Pelodiscus sinensis: one gene and its partner. The protein of the gene in region 2 purifies or fractionates together with the protein of the main gene of each other region. This does not show direct contact. Links are inferred from orthologs where the notes say so. Each region holds a gene or a part of one and is shown on either strand. Other genes may lie near its edges.

Region 1 (11,441 bases), on a different chromosome or scaffold from region 2:
CTAGCTGCTCCGTATTGCTTTCTGCGCTACAAGGAGAAGCGATAAAGGGAGAAGCTTCAGCACACTGCCCCCCTCCAGAAAAATCTCTCAGTTCTTATTGGCCAGAAATCAGCCAATGAGAGCTGAGAGATTTTACTAGGGCAAGGGCAGCATGTGAAACCTCTCACTCTCCCTCTCCCCTTCTGGCAGTACAGAGCACCATATGCACAGCTAGTTGTCTGGGGCTGCTGGCGGGGAAGCCTGCCTGAGTGCTTCTGTCTGGGAGCTGCTTAGGTAAGTGCTTTCCAACTACAGCATGTCTCCGGCACTTCAGCCCCTCCACCCGTCCCCCAACTCCCTCACAGATTCCACATCTCTCCTAACCCTTTTCCAGGCCAGGATCTTTCTCCTGCACCCATACCTTCTCCTAGACCCTATACCTCAAACACCTGCCCTAGATAAAAACCAAACCCTCTGAACCCTCCTCCTCAGGTCATGACTTTCCCTCTTCCCAACTTTCCACCCCCTCCCTCACTTCTACCCCCAGGCCAGAATCCTCTCCTGCACTCCTAACCCCTATCAGATCTGTACCCCAATCTCCTGCCCCAGATCACAGCCCCCTCCTTCACCCAAACTCCCTCTTAGATCCCCATACCCTCTTCTGCACCCCAGTCCCTTATCCTGACCTCCCATCTGCACCCAAATTCTGTTCCAGATCCCACAGCCCCTCTATAAAAAAGTGCAGCCCTTGATTACTTACCAAAATCTTGGTAAAACTTAAAAAACAACAAATAGTCTGGTAGCACTTTAAAGATTAACAAAACAGGTAGATGGTATCTACAGCCCACTTCTTCAGATGTGCCCCACATAAAAAATGATGGCCCATCCCTGATCTAAACCACCCCCCACAGCTGTTTGTCTAACCTGCTCTTAAAAGTCTTAAATTATACAAACCTTGTAAAAGATACTCCAAAAACACATACAAGTATGCAAAAAGTTATCATGGTTCAGAATAGGGATGTTAAATATCAGTTAAATGAATAGTCAATTAACCTCATGAATTCTTATCGACTATTCCATAGTTCCCGGGGTTGGGGCAGGCAGCTCCACCCCCACTTCCGAGGAGCTCCTGCCAATCCACACTGCTGCCTCTAACAGAGGCAGCAAAATAGGGTGCCAGGTGGCACCGTGAGAGGAGCCCATTTAAAGAACAGCTCCTTTTGTGGACTAGCTGTCACCACGCACTGTTGCCTCCGATACAGAGACAGCAGAATTAGGTGGCAGCAACCTCTGTCCAGGGCAGGGAAGTCTGAGCTCCTGGGCCCCGGCGCAAGCTGGAACTGAGCCAGGCTGCCTGCCCACATGGCTCCCAATTACACTTTAAATGCAAAGTCACAGCAGGGGTAGGTCCTGGACCCAGTGCAAGCCAGGACTGAACCAGGCAACTGGCCAACCTGCTAAAAAATGTACTGGCAGGGGAGGGAGAAATGCATGTATTCTACAGAAGTAACCAATAAGCTTTCGTTTATCGGTTCACTGATTATATACTACAGGCAGTCCCCAGGTTACGTACAAGATAGGGACTGTAGGTTTGTTCTTAAGTTGAATCTGTATGTAAGTGGGAACTGGCATCCAGATTCAGCCGCTGCTGAAACTGATCAGTTTCAACAGCGGCTGAATCTGGACACCAGTTCTGACTTACATACAGATTCAACTTAAGAACCCCAGGCGTCCCCAAGTCAGTTGCTGCTGAAACTGATCAGCAGCTGATTCCAGGAAGCCTGGGGCAGAGCAACTCTGCCTCGGGCTTCCTGTAGTCAGCCGCTGGTCAGTTTCAGCAGCGGCTAACTTGGGGACGCCTGGAGCAGAGCAGCTCGGGTGCTGCTGGGTTGGTCCAGTAGCGTGGCCGCTCCTCGGCGCTACTGGACCAACCCAGCAGCACCCCAGCTGCTCTGCCCCAGGCGTCCTGATTCAGCCGCTGCTGAAACTGATCAGCAGCGGCTGAATCAGGACGCCTGGGGCAGAGCAGCTGGGGTGCTGCCGGGTTGGTCCAGTAGCGCTAAGGAGCGGTGCTGCGGGACCAACCGGCAGCGCCCCACCTGCTCTACCACAGGCCCCGGGCTTTGCTCCACGTCTCCCTGGTCTGCTGGGGGGGAGGGGGGGCACTAGCTGCGTCCCCCCCCCAGCAGACCAGGGAGACGCAGAGCAAAGCGGTGGAGGACCCGGGCTGGACAGTGGCGCTTCCAGATCAGCTGGAAGTGCCGCAGGTCCGGCCCGGGTCCTCCCCGGCTTTTCTCAGCTGGAAGCGCCGCGGGTCCGGCCGGGTCCTCCGCGGCTTTGCTCGGCGTCTCCCTGGTCTGCAGACCAGGGAGACGCCGAGCAAAGCCGCGTAGGACCCGGGGCCGGACCCGCGGCCGCTTCCAGCTGATCTGGAAGCAGCCGCGGGTCCGGCCCCGGGTCCTCCACCGCTTTGCTCCCCGTCTCTCTGGTCTGCTGGCTCCCCCAGCAGACCAGGGAGACCGGGAGCAGCTTTTCTCGCCCGGGAGGAGGCAGGCGGCGGGACCAGGCGTCCAACTGCTCCAGTCCTCCGGGGCGAGAAAAATCCCTGTTCGTAACTGCGGATCTGACGTCAGATCCGCGTAACTCGGGGACTGCCTGTATTACATTCCTACTTCAGAATTCAACACAACTTATTCAGACTTGTACCAATTCTAAAAATCCTGTAAAACTACACACTGCTAAACTATGAAAGCAGTAACAGTTTAAATCTGGACATGTCAACAACCACCAAATCCCAAACTGATTGTTTTAATAGAGTACTCATTTCAAGCCCTGACAGATCTTAGACTATTTAAAGCCTCTCATTCTATTTATCTTTCTTCCCAGTTCCTTGAGTTCCAACGTAATTTTAGCACCTGCTGTTATATTAAAAAAGCTGTATTCAGAATTAAAATTTAGGTCAAGCGGTTCATGAGACACTAGCCGCTACAATCTTATAAATATACACTGTAAAATGCTTGATATAAATAATTTAATGATCAATGTACTTAGGTAAACACGTGCCCCAAAACATTTCAGTCTTTGCCTATTGTTCAGACAAAACTGAAAACAGATTATACTCACCACTTCTCTAGGTTCATCTTCATCTTCTGCTTTTCTCTTTTTTGATGTTGTGTCCTGATGACCGCTAACATCTTCCTTTTCATTTCCAGCATCCTGCTCTTTAGCTGATGTTGTATTGTCCTCATCCAAACTGACAGCAGACTCTGCCTCTGAAGCTTTAGAAATTATTCTGTCTGCTTCCTCAACTAAGCTCTTTTCTAACTCTTGTTCTTCAACCTTGCTGGAATCAGACATGTTGGAGCTTATTCTTCGTGTTGCTTGATTAAACAGTATCAATTTTATTCCACAAATAAACTGTGGAAAAACGTGAAATATTACTTTGCATATAATGGATGCTTGTCCTCTGTTATATTATTATAAAAGCACTATCACACTCAATGGCTATAGAACAAATCCAAAGCTTTTACTGGACCTCAATATTCGATTAGTTATAAAGGGTCAACAAGGTTAAAAAGTTACACTGTAAGTGCATTCACTGGTTTTAGCACAGGCAACACCGAAGTTGCTGTAACAGTTTCTCTTTGTTCCGGTTTATTTTGTGCATTTGACAGGGCTGTACTGCAGCTACCTTCACTGTTTCACCTGCCCAGCAAACCCTGCTGAGGTGCTTCTGTCACACCCAAGAGGGGAAAGACACAATGAAGACGGTGGCCAAAAACCCCGGGCTGGCAGGAAGGCCTGGGGCAGACGCGGCCTCTCCCCTGCTCGCGCTGGGCTCTGACGGGGAGGGGGGGGCACTTCTCTCCGAGTCGAGAGGCAGGAGGGACCATCAGCCCCTCCGCTGTGTAGCTCGGGGCACCGGTGCCGCCCCGGCGTCCCTGACTCGGCCCAAGGCGGGCAGGAGACACCGCCCCCCCCTCACGTTCGACCCCGGGGGGGGGGGGGTGTCTCGCGCGCGGGCACTTGCCTCGCGCCGAAAGGAGAGAAGCGAGGGGCGGGGCTCCGGGGAGACCAGGCAGTGGTGGGCGGGGAACGCTGCTGCCGCAGCCGCCACCTCCCCCTTCCCCTCCGCTGACCAGCACGGGAGCCGCGGGGGAGGGGAGAGGGGGCGCCCCTGCTTTTCTCTTGGCGGGTCACCTTCAGGAACCACGCCCCCGGAACTCGAGAAACCCGAAAGGGCGGGGCGACGAGGCTAGAACAGCCCCCACCCCCAAACGCCAGGCCCGGGCTCCGCCCCTTCGGCCCATCTCTGAGTGTCTCACTGCCCCGCCCTCCCAGCGGCCAGGCCGCGGGCCGACAGTGGCGCGAACCCCACCCCGTCCCCTTAGCAACGGCGCCCACGCGCCCCCCCCCAACCGCCTTCCTCTGCGTCCCACCTAGCGCTCAACAAGCGACTGCGAGTTCCCACCCCCACGGCACCGCTTTGCCCCGCCCCCTTCCGTTGCCGCAGCGCGCGCGCGCAGCTCTCCCCTCCCCCGCGGCGCGAGCGGGAATGTGAGCGTCGGCCCCGCCCCCAAATTTCCCGCTCGGCGGATAGCAAATGGCTGGAGCCGCTGAAGCGGCGCGAGCGCACGGAAACCGCTTCTTCAGGGGACGCTTCGCTGCCACAGGGGCCCCACCGCCCCGCGCGCGGCTCCTTAGGAGCGAGAAACGCGCCGGCCCTTAAGCCTCTGCGCAGCGCTCACCAAAGCGGGCTTTCTGCCATGCTGTTTGCGGATGTGACGCGCATAGAAAGCCGCGAGCTGATTGCGTCGTTTCCGGTAATGGGGAGGAGCCTGCGAGAGCCGCAGTGGGGTACCGGCTGCGCACGCGCATACGTGACTCCTCGCCAGTCCAGGGCGCCTCGAAAGGGAAGGAAGTGGCCTGAAGAGCCGCGCCCCGCTGTTTCCCAGGACTACAGTCCCCATAAGGCTTTGCAGTGGCGCATGCGCAGTGTGAGCGATTGGGCCCGGGGAGGGGGTTTGCAAACACGTTGCCCGGGGGCAGAGCGAGGCCCCTGTAGCCCCGCGAGGAGAGCGCGGCTGCCGACCCAACCCTGCCGCCCGCCCGGGTCCCTGCGGCCGCGGCCTGATGGAGCGCAAGGTACCGATCCCCGCGCGCGTTCCGGGGGCGGGGCGTGACCCCGGGCGGGCTGGGGTCCCCCGCGGCGGCGCTTCGGTCCCGGCCCGTCCGCTGGCGGCGGGAATGTGAGCGCCCCCCGCCCCCTCCCCGCACACCCCCCGCCGCCAGCACCACTGCCCGCTGGAGAGGGGGCTCCTCCAAGGGACCCACGCGTCGGCCCGCGCCCACGAGTCAAGGCATTTCTGTTTGGTCCGACACGCGCTTGGGGGGGCTTGGAGTCCTTCTGTTCAGCTACCGCTGCTTTTATTGGGAACATATTGCATCGATGTGTTAGTAGGATGTGGCTTCAGCTGATGCAAGGAGAGAGGATCCTTTCAGACAGGGGTGGGGCCCTCAGAATTGAGGACATTATCTTCCAGGTTCTCCGATGTTCAGCTCCATTTTTGCCCCCCCCCCTCCCCTCCACTGCCCCCAGTGCCTACGGAGTGTTCGCGGTTTTCTTTGCTTCCATCTTGCCTCTCTGCTCACTTCCCTAGTCACCTTAGGACCAAAGCAGAAAGTAGCTGACTGAAATCAAATCAGGGTGAGAACTCTTTGTGTCAACTTCTATTGATAGCTGCTCTGTGGAACTCTCCACAGATGTCTGCTAATGACCTCTTGTAAAATACCAACATGTTATAACATTCATAGAGGACTAAAGGTGCCTTCTGGGTGTGTAGGACTTGGTGCCTACCTTCAGTGGGAATTGGATTCCTTGCTCTGCATGCCTTCATTGCAGTGTTAACCTGAGCTTTCACTACTCTGTTGTTACTAAGGTGACTTCTGTCAACAAACGTGCACAAACCTCCAATATGAATTTGGAGCTTTCAGTCTGAGTTAAGTTGGCCTGTATGGAGATATAGACTAAAATCTGAGAGCTGAATATGAGGTTGGTAACCTACACACTTTACATTGTGGATATAGGCTAAAGCGCTGGAGTGCTTTCTTTGCTCTCTGGGTTTGTTCTGGAAGAAGTATACATCTTCAAAACTTAGCTTAGTTTATACTTAAGTTTGGCTGGCATAACTATGTTAGTAAGAGGTGTCATTTTGCTACCAACATGGTTTTGTTCAAGGGAATTGGTCAGAAAGCCCTGGTATAAGTACTAGTATAGTTGCAGTTGTGCCATAAAAGTGCTTATATAGTATTATAACTATGTTTATGCTATGATGGTGTTTGCTATTTTAACTTTGCAGTAACTAGTTAATGCAGCAAAACGTTGTAGGCTTTTGTACCTTCCCTTTATCACACACACATCCTCAATACTCTCCTTAAAGAGTTTTCAGAGAAAAGTGACCTTTTAGCAAAAGAAGGTCAACATTCCTTTTAACTTTTACTTTCCATTTGTTGAATCCAAAAGTGCCAGGAAGGAGGAGCCCTCTTTCCCTGCATACATTTAAAAGAGCAGATAATGTGTCTTCTCAGTAGTGAATTATTTGATCATGTTACTCTACCCAACTCTCATCTCTGCTTTTCATAAGAGCAGAATACTTTTTTCCATCTTCACATCAGAGCTTTCAGACCAGTTTCCTTGAACTAAACTTTTAGCAATCTATTTGAGATTCTTCATAATCCACAAGAAATTTGGTATCCAAGGCTAATTCTTGCTCTAAAGTAGATGAACAAGTTATTAAAATATTAGGTAGCTTCCATAGGTTTTCAGTGGGTCAGCTACATTTTCAACAGACTTTTGTCTGACTTTTACTAAGATGATGATAGTCTGATGGTGAAGTCCTGTCTAAACCTCTTTCGCTTGCTTTGCCTGTTTGTCTATTTAGAGTGTGTGTCACTGGGGCTTCTAGGTGCTACTTGAATGCAAATATTAATTTGTGACCTCTTATTCTCTGAGGCTACATCTACATTGCAGGCTTCTTGCGCAGTAACTGTTTTACGCAAGAGTTCTTGTGCAAAAGGTCTTCCACAAGAGTGCGTCCACACTGCCATGTGCTTTTGTGGAAGAGATGTGCTTTTGTGCAACAGCGTCCGTGGCAGTGTGGACGCTCTCTTGCACAAGAAAGCTCTGGCCATTTTAGCCATAGGGCTTTCTTGAGCAAGAAATCCCTGTTGCCTGTCTACACTGCCTTCTTGTGGAAGAGCTCTTGCAGCTCAAGAGGGCTTATTCCTCATGGGGAGAGGAATAACTCTTGCACAAGAAGCCCCGCTTTCCGACGCTTTACTGTAAATTTACTTGCTCAAGAACATGCGTGCAGTGTAGACGTTCTGCAAGTTTTTGCGCAAGAACAATCGTTCTTGCACAAAAAGCCTGTAGTGTAGACATAGTCTAAGTTTCAGGGAAATACTCTTTACTCTTCTATGAAGAGTTCTGATCCTTTCATTGTTCCCAATTGCTTCCCCCACCCTCAATGTTTCAGTTCTTACAAATTATGCCTCACCACACCTTTTGCCTGTTTCATGATCCTACACTAAAACACAATTCAGTGCATGCTGCACTGACAATTCCAGAGGTAAAGTTTCTTCTGTTGTGCAGAAAAACATTTTTACTATATAAAATTAGCTCTGGGTAGGTCCTGTGTTATTTGTGGAGACTTGAAAGGGGAAATGCTCCTTGGCCAACTCTTCTGGGCACCCTATGGATCTGCCATCTGATGTTACCCAAAATCTGATATTGTCCACGAGTAACAGTTAAACAATTACAAACAGTTGTACAACTGTTCTGGTGATTGTCATCCACTATCAGAAATAATGCTCTTATAGCTCTATTCCTGCCAGTACGGTGACTTGAGAGATTTTTTCCAGCCAAGAATGGAGAAGGAAAAAAGTTTAAAGATACTTACCTATTGGCTGTTTGGTGGATCTTGGCTCCAGCACATGCCACTTGATCATCTTCCTTCCTCAGAGAACATTAGAGTAACCAAGAAACTGGTTTTTAGATCTTAATTTAGATATCTTTTCTGTTTTTTCCCTATGCTTTTTTTTTCTCTGAAGCAGAAGTAATTATACATTGAAGTACAGCCCTTAGCAATCAGACTTTTTTTCATCTCATCTCCTGGAATTCAATATGATTTTTGGAGGTTACAATGGGTCCCACAATATTCCTGCTGTCTTTGTTCCTACAGCAGCAGAATAAACTTGCACTTGTTGGTACAGGTTTCATTCTCAGACAGCAAGCATACATTAACAGTTCAGTCAGTAAGAGATTCTCTTTTCTATCTATAAAAAGGTTTTCCTGCTGGATGACAGAGTGACGTCATCATGTCACTCTGCATCCCACAACCCCTCCCCCCTCAGCGGTCCCATCTCCTCCTGCTTGCCTGCTGCTAACCCAGCTGGGATAGGGAACACATGGCTCCTGAGCAGCAGCACTGAAGATAAGCTGCAGCTGCTGGTGGGCTCCTGGGGAGGGAATAAGGGGGCCAGCAGATAGTCCCGCTTTAGCGGGGATTAAAAAAATTCTGGCAGGGAGGGTGGGCGAGGGCTGCTGGAAAGGCTCACTGTTAGGGGGGCACTGGCCCCTGAACTGGGCAGGGTGGCAGCCGGGCCTGGATGGGCCTCTGGCAGCCACCACATGGCAGACTGCTGGGAGTTTCAATTTCTGCTTGAGATGTATGGGGGGAGGAGGCAGCGGCAAGGCAGAGGCCCAATGTGAAGAGAGAGGATCGGAGGCAGGGGTCACCCCAGCTCCTGAACCGGGACTCAATGTCCCTCCGGCAGCTGCCCGCCCAGGGGGCAACAATGCTGCCACGCCTCAGCCTGGCCCTCCCCAGCAGCTGGGAGGAGAGCCAGGGCTGCCTACCCCCGAAGAGGGGGGTTGGTGAGTGTAGCAAACGGGGCATAGCCCCCCGAGTATGCTTATAAAACTGGTAACTTTTTTATGTCCAGCTCTTCTTCCCCTTCTTAGGTGCTCCAAATTATAAACTCTCCTCATGCTGCCCCTATTCTTCCTCCCCCTTTTTTTTCCAGGAGTTGGAAGATACAGAGGAAACATCATGTTGTTATGGCAAGAAAAAATTGGCTACTGCCATTTTTTTCAAAAGTTGTATTATTTTCTAATACAATATAATGTGGTAAGAAGCCATTAATAAATGCTAGTAGTTGGTTGCAATAACTTCTGAAATTGAAGTGTGATTCTGTAAGGATTCAGTAGAGGGCAGAATAAAACTTCTAAAGAAAAGAGCCAAGATAATTGTTCAGTATTAAGGAGCAGAGATACTGAGTGGTTACTATGGATTTGGAATTATCACCACCCCCCCCCCCGCAAGAAAGTTATAGAACTGGTGACTGCATTATGGTGCAGAAATGTAATAGCCTAGAAAGTGCTATAAAGAGTTTGTATATTGTATTTTTAAGAAGCTGTGAAGATTTAATTTAGTGTGGTGTTAAAAGGTAGAACTAAGTACAATGTAGAACTTAAGATCTCTGACTCCTGTCAAAGTAAAGGCGGGGGTGGGAGTATTTCTGTCACTTCTAGTTGGATGCAGATGAGCTAATTTGCATCCCATCAGTATAAAGATGAATTGAAATGCTTTTTAAATCAGTAGAAACCTACTGTTTAACATCCCACATCTTTAACTGACTACACAGATATAAAATATAGCTCTTCTACTTATATACTGTCTAATATTTTTTCCAAAATTCTATTGTGAAAACTTAAAGATCTTTTTAAAAAGATGTTCCCTATTCTGCTAAAGGTCTGTCTACATTATAAATACTGCTTTGTCAATGTAGTCAGTTACAGCAGTGAATATTAGGAATATAAAATCCTGGTTAATAAGTTAACAGGTTAAACAGGATGCTTACTGGGTAACTGGTTAACCCTTTACATCCCTAGTGAATATATTCAGATCTCGATATGGACTTAACTTGTCCAAGGTTTTATTATGGTTCTGTGATATAGCTAGATCCATCTGTCTACAACTACATTGTGACCAAGCGAAGGTTAGACACAATTATGTAAAAAAGTTGGTGACCACTGACCAGACTCTGCTAGTGTTAGTACTAGTGAAGCACAGTAGTGGGAGATCTAGAAGTGCAAGTGAAGAGACAGCCACATGTGAAAATACTACAGAGAATAAACCCTTGTCTACACTATAGTTTTGTTGACAAATGTTATGCTGTCGTACAGCCACTGCTTTAATTAAACCCCTGTTCTAGAATGTTACGCTGGACCAGTCTTGAACAAACACAGCCGCTGGATTTTTTTCCTAGTTAAATCACTTAGCAAAATAGTCAACACTGTCACATTTTAACATCATAGTTCAATAACCAATTTAAAGACCTGCTGATACTTCATGGAAAAAATAGAAAACTTTGCATATATGTGTCGGCTCATCTGTTTGGCTATGTCTAGACTGGCATGATTTTCCGCAGAAAAGCGTCCGTGCCAGTCTAGATGTGCTTTTCTGCCATTTTAGCGATCGGGGCTTTTTTGCGGAAAACAAATCTGAGCTGTCTACACGGGCCCTTTTGCGCAAAAGGAATTTTGCCCGAACAGGAGCAGCATAGTATTTCCGCAAGAAGCACTGATTTCAGACAGTAGGAAGTCAGTGTTCTTGCAGAAATTCAAGCGGCCAGTGTAGACAGCTGGCAAGTTTTTCCGCCAAAGCATCTGCTTTGGCGGAAAAACTTGCCCATCTAGACACAGCCTTTGTGTTCAACAATAGCCCTCAGATCCTATGATACAAAAACACTGTCTATCAGTTATATGTGCATTTGGTTTTGTTTCCAAAGCATAGTGCTGTGCTTTTAACATTATTTAATTTCATCTTGTTGATTTCAAACTAATTCCTCACTTTGTCTAGGTCATTTTAAATTCTAATCCTGTCTTCCAAGTATCATCTGCACATTTTAAAACTATAGCTATAATATATCAGCTGGGGATTCCCTCGCTGACCCTGGGCTTCATGCGGCGCTGCCGCTTTGAAATGCCAGGTAGAGTCTGGGATCAGTTGGGGACTCCCCCAACTGACCCCAGATCAATGCCGTGTGCCAGCTTTGAAATGTACAACAGTCCCCAGCGGTGGCTCTTGTGGATTTCAAAGAGGAAGCGTTTGTGTGGAGCCCAGAGTCAGCAGGACTTCCCACTGGCCCAGGGCTCCGTGCAGCATTCCAACTTTGAAATGCATTTCAAAGGCAGAAGTGCTTATTGAGTAGTGAATGGAAATTCCATCAACTACTCGACTAGCAAATTAATCGTTACTTAACATCCCTAATAGGGACCCTGCACAGAGCCAGGACCCCTCCTGTGGGAGGGATGGTAGCCAGGAGCAGAGGATGCAGGGGCTGGGGTGAGGAGGTAATGTGGGAATTGGGGGCTGGGGTGCGATGGGGTCAGGCTCAGA
Region 2 (10,919 bases):
GAATGTACAGAGAGCCAGCTCCCCATGCATATCAGCTCCTGCCTCCAAGAGACAGTAGCATGGCCGAGCAATTCCACAGGATCCAGTGCTTGTGGGAGCTGGCTTAAAAGTCAGCACATCACGGGCACCAGCTCCTGCCTCCCCCATATCCTTGCTGCCTCTGTATCAGAAGCAGCAAGGGAGGGATGGGATGCATATAGTCAACAAGATTAACAATCACATAGTCCACTACACGTTAAAATCGCTAGTGTTTAAAACAGTCTTTATAGCCATTTTAATAGCGATGTTATAACAGTTTGGTCCCGATTACCCATGGAAGACCTAGATATGGGCAACATAACTGTGGCACTATCCTGCAAAACTTTAATGCTCTAACACAGCAGAGGGGGCTGTTGAGACAGGCCCACGGAGACAGTTCAGTTTTCTCCAGTCACCAGCTCATGTGGCATCTCCATCACCAAAAATCAGTGGAATTCCATTCTGTACAATCCTCTACTAATCTAATCAGCTTCTGTGAAGATTAAAATTTAAAGTAATTCAAGATCCCGTCATGTTCATTAAGGAGGGACTTGATACTAGGCCATATTCACAGGATGGATGAAGACTAGCTAGCAACAGCTGGATTTGAACCTTGTGCGGCTAGAAGGTTTTGGAATGGTTTTCTTGACATCCAGTAGACCAGGGCTTCCCCTGCCCCAACCCAAGAACCATAACGCAATAGTACTACAGACAGGAGAGGTAAGCTATATAGTTCAGTTTCCAGAAAAGTAATTCCTCTTTGTGCTGCTCAGAGAGCAACGCTACAAAGCCACAAACACTTACACTAAAACAGTTGTTGGAAGCCAAGAATAGGGCATCAACAAAACCCCACATTGGTGAAGATGAGCAGAAGTCTGCTCCTCAAGATAAAATACAGCTGCAGAACAGAGCAGCATTTTTAAGCCTCATTCCTGGCTGACCTCAGGCTCTCTTCCCTACTAAGTCGCTAGGAAACAGTCCTAGGTTGAGCCCACATACACAGTGAAAGTTTTGCCTCAGAACTGGACTTTGGTAAAAACCACACAGAGTTGGCATGCCATGGATTAGGGAGAATTGGTCCACCGACCTTCAGGAAGTATGGAAGCTCCTCTGTTCAATGAGAGGAAGGGACTGGGGTTAGCATCATTTTGCAGAAAGTAGCAGACAGCAAGAATCTTATTGTTTTAATCTTCATACATACACTGAGTGTTGTTTAGGGGTGGCAAAGGTCCCAGTAGACAATACCCGGCTCCAAAGAGTTGGTTAAAAACACACACACACACACACACGATTCCTCCCCACCTTGTGCAAGTTACAGTTGGCATACCAGCCTAACATTCCTATCCCCCCAAAATCCATGAAAAGTACAACTGTGGTCCATCTTTTTCTCCTCCTATCTACCAAGTATTGCTGATAAAGAAGCCGAACCAAATACTCTTGGCCGAGCCACATTTAAAGCCACGATCCAGCCCCTTCCTTTCAAGATGAAAGGGGCAGTCCCGCCGCCACTTCTGGGGTGGAAGACACCAGCCAAGAGACCCACCGCAAACTCAAGAAGTGAAAGGCGGGGGCAGTGTTTGCCTCGGGCCCTGGGGCCCCCCGCAGCTGCGAGGCACAAGGCTGGGGGGGGGGCACCTCGCACAGAGGTCCCGTGTGAGGGCTGTTCCAAGGGCTCTCGCTACAGCCCACCAGCTGGGGGGGGGGGGGTTCCACCCAGGGACGGGGCGGGGGGGCCGGCAGGTACCGGGGGGGGGCAGGCAGCGCTCGGCATGAATAAGCAGAAGTGTCCCCAGGCAGAGGGGAGCGGGGGCCCCGCCAGCCGCCTCCCCCCACCCCGCGCAGGGCAGCTGGACGCAGCGGCGCCCCCCGCCGGCCACTGCCCGAGGAGGGGGAGGGGGAACCAGCCCCCCCACAGGGCAGACCCGCCCCCTCGAGCCAGGCACCCCGGGGGCCGGCGGGAGCAGGGGCGCGTAGCCCCACCCCGGCGCTCCGAGACCCGGGTGACGGGCGCGGGCTCAGGGCCCGGGCCGCAGGGCAAGGGGCGGCCGGACCCGCCGGGCCGGAGTCTCCCGCTGGCAGGGCGCAGAGGAACCGCCGCGGCCTCCCCACCCGCCCCGCTCACCCATCTCCGGCTCCTCAGGCTCCGGCTCGAGCTGCGGCGGCCACAATATGGCGGACGGGGGCGGGGGAGGGCCGGGAGCGAGAGAAGGGAACGGCGGCCGGGAAGGGACAAACCTCCCCGCCGCGCGCGCCGCCCTTTAAAGGGGCAGAGACAGCGCGGGGGGAGGGGGGAGAGGCGCTTCCTCCCTCCCTCTGCTGAGCTGTACGGGGCGGGGCCACGGCGGCTGGTGCTGGGGCCCAAGGCCGAGGCCTGATAGCGCCCGTGGGCTGGAGGTGGCAGGGCTGGGCCACGCCCTGGGAGCCAGCCTGGTCCCCCTGCTCCCGCCCACCTGCCACCTGCTTCCCCCCTGCCCTGCCCTGCCCCCACCCGCCCTGCCCACGCCACCCACCCCCTGCCCTGCTCCCGCTCCCACCCGCCTTGCCCACGCCACCCACCCCCTGCCCTGCCCTGCCCTGCTCCCGCTCCCACCCGCCCTGCCCACACCACCCACCCCCTGCCCTGCCCTGCTCCCGCTCCCACCCAACCTGCCCACGCCACCCACCCCCTGCCCTGCCCTGCCCTGCTCCCGCTCCCACCCAACCTGCCCACGCCACCCACCCCCTGCCCTGCTCCCGCTCCCACCCGCCTTGCCCACGCCACCCACCCCCTGCCCTGCCCTGCCCTGCCCTGCTCCCGCTCCCACCTGCCCTGCCCACGCCACCCACCCCCTGCCCTGCCCTGCTGCCGCCCGCCCTGCCCACGCCACCCACCCCCTGCCCTGCCCTGCTCCCACCCGCCCTGGCCACGCCACCCACCCCCTGCCCTGCCCTGCTCTCGCTCCCACCCAACCTGCCCACGCCACCCACCCCCTGTTCTGCCCTGCCCCCACCCGCCCTGGCCATGCCACCCACCCTCTGCTCCCGCCCGCCCTGCCCACGCCACCCACCCCTTCTCTGCGCCTGCTCCCGCCCGCCCCACCCATGCCACCCACCCTGTGAGTTCATTCAAAGGGGCAGAGTGGTGGAGCCCGGGATCAGCGGGGGACTCTAAGTCCCCCGATGACCCCAGGTTCCATGAGGGCGCTGTGTCTTTGAAGTGCACAAGAGCCCCCACTGGGGCTCTTGTCCATTTCAGGAGGAATGCGAAAGTGCCTATCGACTAGTCAGTTAACCGTAATTTAACATCCTTAGGTAGGAGCATGATTTCATGCTGGAGAGCACATAGAATGTGATTCCCCCACCCCCCCAAAAAACCAGCTGCGTGGTATGCTAATGTAACCCACACACCTAGTGTGGTTACTGCGCAATGCAAGTGGTACCTAGACCACAGCAACAGTTAAGATCAAGAGACCTCTACAGCATGGGCTGGGAGCCAGCTGGCTTTTAGCTCAGAGGGTGGAGGCTCCTCTAGTCAGCCCCCGATTCAAACCCGCCCGGCGGCGGTTACACTAGCAGCATCCATCCTGCTGGGAAAGGATTAACTGGGTCCTGTTGATTCACTAAGGGCAGTGGGAGTGATTTCTCAGGGAGCTCGAGGGCATCCTGTAGAAAGAGCCCCGGGAACAGCCAAACCCTGGGAAATGGCGCCCGTTGGTGTTTGTTCTCCCGTTGTTAATCAAGAGAAGAGGACGTGGCTGACAGTGGGGCAGAACCTGTCTAGAATAAAATTCTTCCTAGGAATGTTCACCCTAGTTAGAGGAGGCAGCACCTTCCCAGTTGTGTTCCTCTCATCTTCAAAGGGAGAGGCGTGTGGGGGAAGCGACAAAGGAGACCACCCAGCTGTTGTCCCCATTTGCTCGGGAGGAACTCTCCTCCTCCTTCCCACACACTCTGTCCCATGGGGAGCCTTGAATTTATTTTCCCTCCTGTTGATTAGGGCTGAATTATGACTTTCGAGGGCCCGAGGCACTTTTGCCTTTGTGGGCCTCTTCCTCCATAAAAAAAAAAAATATTAAAAATTATTTTTGATACAACTTTAAATACTTCAACGTTTTATTTTTTTTCTGTTTTAGGCAAAATGTAATAGATTTTCGTGGGCCCTAAAAGTTTCATTTTTTTTCTTCTGATTTTAAAAGAAATTAAAACATTTTCGTGAGCCCCTAAAAGTATCCTGAGCCCTAGGCACTGTGCCTAATGGATAAGTCGGCCCTGCTGTTGATGAGGCACAGCTGCTGCCAGCACCTTCTCCTGCCTATCAGCCCATGTCTCCAGCCCTGGCTGCTCGGCCACTCCCAACGAAGGGCTTTCATTTTGTCACAGCCCCGCCAAAGATAAGTCACATACCACCCACTTGTAGCGTGGCTGGGGGCACTTCCCTTTCCCCACCCTTGGGAGAAGAAATCAGCATCGAGGTGATTCTGCCTCCGGCGCCACAGGACAGGGAAGAAAAAGCCATCTAGTCACTCCAGTTTTCGCTTTGCTTGGAGAGGAGCACGCCGTGATGACAGTGTATAGAGTTCCACCAGCCAGACATCAATGGCAGAATGGCTGTGCCAAAGGAAAATTTTATGGTCCCTGACACAGAACGGGTCAGCTCCACATCCTGTCTTCTAACCGCTTGGCGTTTGCCTCACATGCTCCAGCAATTTTCACCACTACACTGCTGGAGACGGGAGCACAAGTCGACAGTTCCCGCAGATAAAGCTCCAGCTGATCAACCCTCAGTAGTTTATTATTTAAAACACACGTGGACGGGCTGGGGGCTGGTCTCTGTTCTTTTACCCACCTCCTGCTTTAGTTCGTGATTCGAACTAGGAGGGTAATGTAGGCATACCGCACTTGCAAATGAAGCCCGGGATTTGAATTTCCTGGGCTTCATTTGCATAAACCGGGCGCCGCCATTTTTAAATCCCGGCTAGTTCGAACCCCGTGCCGCGCGGCTACACGCGGCACGGAGTAGCTAGTTCGGATTAGGCTTCCTAATCCGAACTAGCTGTACTCCTCGTGGAATGAGGAGTACAGCTAGTTCATTTGCAAGTTCAAACTAGCGGGGTAGTGTAGACATACCCTGAGAGATTCCCAGTTAAATACCTTGCCGATCAATGGACAAAGGGCAGGATTGGCATGAAGGAATTAGAGGAAGGGCAGCAAAAACCTCAGCCAAAAATCCTGAGAAACTATTATTGTTCCTTGAGAAGAATGGTTTGGTATACGTTGAACCTCTCCAGTCCGGCACTTTCTGGTCTGGCAACATCCATGGCCCAGCATGATTTTAGTTAGCCGGATGGCCACTTAACATGGGTGTGGCCAAGTTTTCCATGGTCACATAAAGTTTGTTTACAGCCACCAGCCCTGGCTCTGCTCTGTGCTGTGATGTAGCTCTAATTTACCTCTACATGTCTTCACAGCAGTGGAAGTGGTGGTAATGCTGCTAGACCAGTGCTGGGCAATAGGCGGCCCGCAAACACTTTGATCCAGCCCGCGCACTGCATCTGGCTGCTTTCTATTTATATCCTGCCGCCCGTACCACCAAATTTCCAGGCGGTGGCTCAGGCAGCAAGGATGCATTTAAATGGCTCATAGCTCCCAGTCGCAGCACTATCCCAGCAGAGGTCACAGCCTTGAGCCTTTTAAATACAGTCATTCCTCATTTAACACGTGCCCACTTAACACGTTTTCGCGATAGCACGATTTTTTTTTTTTTAGGGAACGTTTTTTGAATGACACAACCGTCCCCGGAATAACACGATTTCCCCAGCTGGCCCGTCGCCAGTGGCTGCATGGGGCTTCCCCCGCCTCCCTGCAAAGCAGCGGAGGGTTTGCCGCTCACCGCGCCGTTCCTCACTGCCTCCCCCTCACCGGACGCCTTGCCCCCTCTCCTCTGGCCCCACTTGCAGGCCGGCGGCTGGGTTTCCCCAGCCTGCCCATCACCAGCGGCTACGTGGGGCTTCCCCCGCCTCCCTGCAAAGTGGCGGAGGGTTCGCCGCTCGCCACGCCGTTCCCCAGTGACCCCCCCTCGCCGGACACAGAGCGGGTCCCGGCAGACCAGTCACAGGGGCATGCTCCCAACCCAGTCCCCCTCCCTTCTCCTCCCCTTCCCGTCCGCAGAGCCAAACACCTCCCCTCTCTGCTGTAACCCCGTCCCCTTTCTCCCCCGACCTTATGTCCCGGTCCCAACAGACACCACCGCTTGAAATGCAACCCCCACCTTTTCAATGGGGAAATTGACCCTGCATAACACGTTTTCACTTAACACAATCATTCTCTGAAACATCTCTCTAGTGTTAAATGAGGAATTACTGTAGTCCCAGCCACCCTGGGCAGCTGCCAGGCAACGCAGTAGTGATGGGGCCCTGAGCCCTTTGCTGTGGTTTTTTCAAAGCCTCCAGCCCCAGACAACTCGGGGGGGGGGGGGGGAGGCTAGTGCCCAGCCCCACCCCTTCGACTCCAAGCCCCACCCACTCCAGGGTGGAGCCGCCCTGTGACCATTTACCAAAATTAATAAAGTGGCCCCACTGCAAAATGATTGCCCACCCCTGTGCTAGATAATATTGGCCTCTTGTGGTTGGGCAAATTCTCTGGTTTGGCCCCAAGGGTGCTGGAGTAGAGAGGTTCAACCTGTAGTTACATAGGTACCATCGACGTGTGTCACTGCTGTTTGTCATCTTCATTGGAGGCTTCTTAGGTCAAGAACAGCGGGTTGTCCCTGATCCCTCCCCCCGCCCCGTCCTCTCACCCGGCGTGTGTCACTGACCCTTATGCAAAGCAGTTAACTGCTTCCAAATCAGAATGCTGGTTGCATCCATCTTGCACAGCTGTAAGGCTCCATCTGGGGCAGAAGAGAAGCAGAACCCCTCCGATATTGCAGATTAAACATTAAAATCCCGACCCCGGGCTAGCCCTGAGTTAAAGCAAAGACCCGTCCCAGGTCCAGCGTTTGCTTCAACCATTTTCCAAGCCAGCTTGTTCAAGGGAGTGAAGGACAACCGTAGAGATTTCGCAGTTGGCAGGAAAGAATTCCTTGGTTGCAAAGCGTCGCGGGGCAGCTGTCACAGGGCACAGAACACTGGACTCTCGCCGCTGACTAGATGAACACACAGGGCTTAAAAGCAAAGTTTTATTGTGGGGCTCCCAGACGGCCAGTTCGTGCCAGGCAGGTAGGGCCAGGGGAAATCCAGAGACCTGCTGCATCTCGGTGAAAACGACATCTAGCAAGTTCAGTCACCCACTACAAATGCTTCAAGAGCTGAGGTAGCCACTTCCTGGCTCAGTGGCACACAGCCTGGGAAGGCAAGTGAGAACGGAGACAAGGGGTCACCCAAGAGTGGCCCAGTTGACTGGGACAGGTGAGGGCTAGGGATGATAAAATGTGGGGGGGGGGAGGCAGGAGCCAGTGCTCATGGGGAGCTGGCTTTAAAATCACCTGCCCCCCCAATGCTGCCTCTGTATCGGAGGCATCAGCGCAGGGGGCAGGCACCAGCTCCCACCTGCCCCCCAGCCCCGCTGCCTCTGTGGGAGGCAGCAGTGGGGGGAAGGGCATGTGGCTTCATAGGAGCCAGCACATGCTGGAAGCTGGCTTAAAGACAGCGCCCCACATGTACCAGCTCCCTCCTGCCCCTCCCCCCATGCTGTTGCCTCTGATACGAAGGGGGGAGGATATTAAGCTTGGCGGTAGCCAGTACATGCAGGGAGCCAGTATGAAAGCCAGCTCCCTGTGCATTCCAGCTCCCACCATGGGCTGCTGCCTCTGTATTAAAGGCAGCAGCTGAAGGGGGAGCAGGCGGATCAGTAGAGAGGCAGCTGTGTGGAGGCTCATCAGTTTACCCTTTACACCAGGCATGTCAAACTCGAAGCCTACTGAGGGTCGCACAAACGGAAACTGATCGCTTTCAGGGCCACCAAAGAAAATGTGCTTCTATTGGAAAGTCATAATGATTTATTATCATGGTTTAGGCATATTTTATACTTTTTCAGGTCTTGTTTTAATATAATACAATCACTTGATGTGTCAAATTGTTATTTGCCCATATAAAATATTTTTTTAATTTAAATATAAATTGAAGGTACTTTTTAATTTTGTATGATACATAACTTGTTTTGTGGAAATAAAAACAAGTATAGACCGAGCTTAATCAAATAGAACAGGCTTCTGTGAAAATTTCAGATACTTTGTAAGTTTGACATTTTGGATAAATATATATTATTCGTGCAACTGCAAAAAATTGACATTTATTGATATACATTTTATGATTTTATTTGGGAATAAATAAATACAAAACAAAACATTAACAAAATATTCCCCTCCTTTCCCCCAGAGCCAGGCACTCCCATTCCCCCATTCTAACTCAATCCCTCTCTGCTCCCCCAAAACCAGGCCCCCCCTACCTAATGCCTCCCACCTCCCCCAGAGCCAGGCATTCCCAGCCCCCCCAACCTAATGTCTGGGTCTCAGAGTCGCTGGCGACGCCACACTTTCCTTCCTCAGGTGCTGGGGTGGCGTGAGCAGGCACTTGATGCCTGTGCAGAGCAGCTGGCCAGTCGTGAACACGTGCTGGAGCACCCAGCTCCGAGCGGCCTGGCCGGCCGAGAGCAGTAGTTGCAGCACTGAGCGTAGAGTGGCCGGTCAGCCGGCTGTGATCTGCGCTTGGCCACGTGCTCCGAGTGGCCAGCAGGACGCACTTTATTCTTTTATAAAAATGTAGTGGCGGGCCGCAAAAAATATTGATTGGGCCGCATGAGGCCCTCCGGAGGCTTGTTTGACATGCCTGCTGTACATGGATACACATTCACATCCCTAGCGGGGGCTGAGGATAGTGCCGATCGCAGGGGATCCTTTTTCCAGTCTGCAGGAAGCCTGCAAGTCACTGGGCAGAAACAGCTGAATTTTCTCTGCTCTTTGTGCACAATTGGTTGTTTCTACAAAATAAAACACAAGCCACGCTTATAGGATTTGTAAAGAACAAATTATGTCAAACCACCTGATACTTTGACAGGCTAACAAGGAGAAAGCAGTAGATGAGGTGTAGCTAAGTATACGTCAGGGCTCTTTTCCTCTGGCTTTAGCAAGGAGGGAAGATTTGGGAGGGACCAACATTTTTTATGTCCAGCTTCTGTCTGCTTTTAGCAGCAGTAGAGGAGGTGTAGCTAGACTTAAGGTATTTGATACAGTCTCACATGACCTCATTAAGAAACTAAGGAAATACAAGAAAGGGCGTAATGAGTGGGTTCTGCAGGGATCGTTTCTGGGACTGGTTCTGTTTAACATCTTCATCAACAATGTAGATATTGGCATAGACAGTATGTTTATAAAGTGTGCAGAGGATACCAAGCTGGGAGGGGTTGCAAGTACTTTGGAGGACAGGGTCATAATTCATAGGATCATAGAACTAGATCAGTGGTTCCCAACCTTTTCACTAGTGCGGACCCCCAATCACTCCCCCCAAACTGTTTGCAGACCCCCAATCACTCCCCCCAAACTGTTTGCAGACCCCCATCAAAGCCAATTCTAGCCTCAATTCTAGTAGTGGGGTATTTTCTCACTTTTACTGTTTGATTAGCTGTTCCACTTGTGGATGCCTCACTCTGCTCAGTCTCCTTTCTCTTCAGCGAGCCGGATTTCGCCACAGATCCATGTTGAACGTATGGCTAACGTGTGTACGCTTCTAACCGTCATGATCGTTTCGTCACACAAAGGCGCCACAACATAGATTTTTGGACCACAATTCATAACATTATTGGAAAATATTTAATTTAAAAACAACATTGTAACTTTTCAATTTATTTAAAAAATATTTTCTATTTTTATTTACCTTTAATTTTTCCATGGACCCCCTGCAATACCCTCGCAGACCCCCAGGGGTCCGTGGACCCCAGGTTGGGAACCATTGGTCTAGAGATCATCTCTGATAAGTGTCTGTCCAACCTGCTCTTAAATCTCTCCAGGGATGGAGATTCCACAACCCCCCTGGGCAACTTAGTCCAGTGTTTCACCACCCGGACAGGTAGGAAGTTTTTCCTAACGTCCAACTTCAACCTCCCTTCAGAATGATCTGGACAAACAGGAGAAATGGCCAGTAGGATGAAATTCAATAAGGCCAAATGCAAAGTGCTCCGCTCACACAGGAACAATCCAGAATGGGAAGTGACTGTCTAGGAAGGAGTCCTGCAGAAAGGAATGGGGCGGGGAGCCCCAAAAGCGAAATATGAGTCAGCTGCCAAAGCTGGGCTGCACCACTCCCACCCCCCACAGGCAGGGGCTATGTCAGCCCGGTGGTAGGTGGGCTGTTCCTGGGACCCGGTTAATTCTTACCCCATAAGCATCACCCTTTACGTTACTGGTTCACCTTCCTCCCGCAAACCCTTCCTGAATGGCTTGTTTTGCTGTGACCCCTCCCCACGCGCTGGGCCCACAGGATCACATAGCAACAGGGGTAAATTCCTGCTTGGGGGGGGGTCATTCCACCCCCACTCCACTGCCCGGGGCAGTGCCGTGAGCCAAGCAGCAGCCAAGGAACGACGCCCACAGAAAATTCTAAGATGTCCTTTTATTAAAATGTGCGTCACTGTTTGGTGTGGCGGTGTCCTTTGCTGTTCTCCGGCTGTCAGGGTGTTGCAGGTGACCACCCCAGTGGCCTCAGCGCGCGGGCCTAACGTGGGGGAACCGTTAGGTGGTCCGTGGCCTACCGTTCCCGCCCATGGCAATGTACACGTCAATGGGAACGTTGGGCAAAGTCAGGCAGTGGCACCCGGGGCATCTTCTCAGCTGCCTGCGGAACAAGAGAGAGGGTTTAGCTCGGCTTCCTACAAGGGTTGTGCAAAGCCACATACATCGAGCCCTTCAGCATCCCAGGTGCATGGCGGAA

What was found.
Region 1: the proteins of KPNA6 (region 2) and RNMT purify together in Homo sapiens (co-immunoprecipitation; 3 studies listed by BioGRID and IntAct, counting the BioPlex papers as one, with this or other methods). This does not show direct contact. The link is inferred for Pelodiscus sinensis from reciprocal best matches to the Homo sapiens genes KPNA6 and RNMT.

What each region holds. Positions count from the first base shown.
Region 1 is NC_134712.1:88,381,177-88,392,617, reverse strand, and holds the start of RNMT (mRNA cap guanine-N(7) methyltransferase), read right to left. Parts: upstream 4,871-11,441; 5' UTR 4,728-4,870; intron 4,442-4,727; exon of another isoform or gene 4,419-4,441; intron 3,950-4,418; exon of another isoform or gene 3,671-3,949; intron 3,397-3,670; 5' UTR 3,337-3,396; coding exon 3,103-3,336; intron 1-3,102. UniProt on the Homo sapiens protein: Catalytic subunit of the mRNA-capping methyltransferase RNMT:RAMAC complex that methylates the N7 position of the added guanosine to the 5'-cap structure of mRNAs. Binds RNA containing 5'-terminal GpppC.
Region 2 is NC_134735.1:3,504,387-3,515,305, reverse strand, and holds the start of KPNA6 (importin subunit alpha-7), read right to left. Parts: upstream 4,481-10,919; 5' UTR 4,466-4,480; coding exon 4,402-4,465; intron 2,282-4,401; exon of another isoform or gene 2,145-2,281; coding exon of another isoform or gene 2,141-2,144; intron 1-2,140. Other genes in the region: protein FAM229A, read right to left, coding at 10,721-10,823. UniProt on the Homo sapiens protein: Functions in nuclear protein import as an adapter protein for nuclear receptor KPNB1. Binds specifically and directly to substrates containing either a simple or bipartite NLS motif.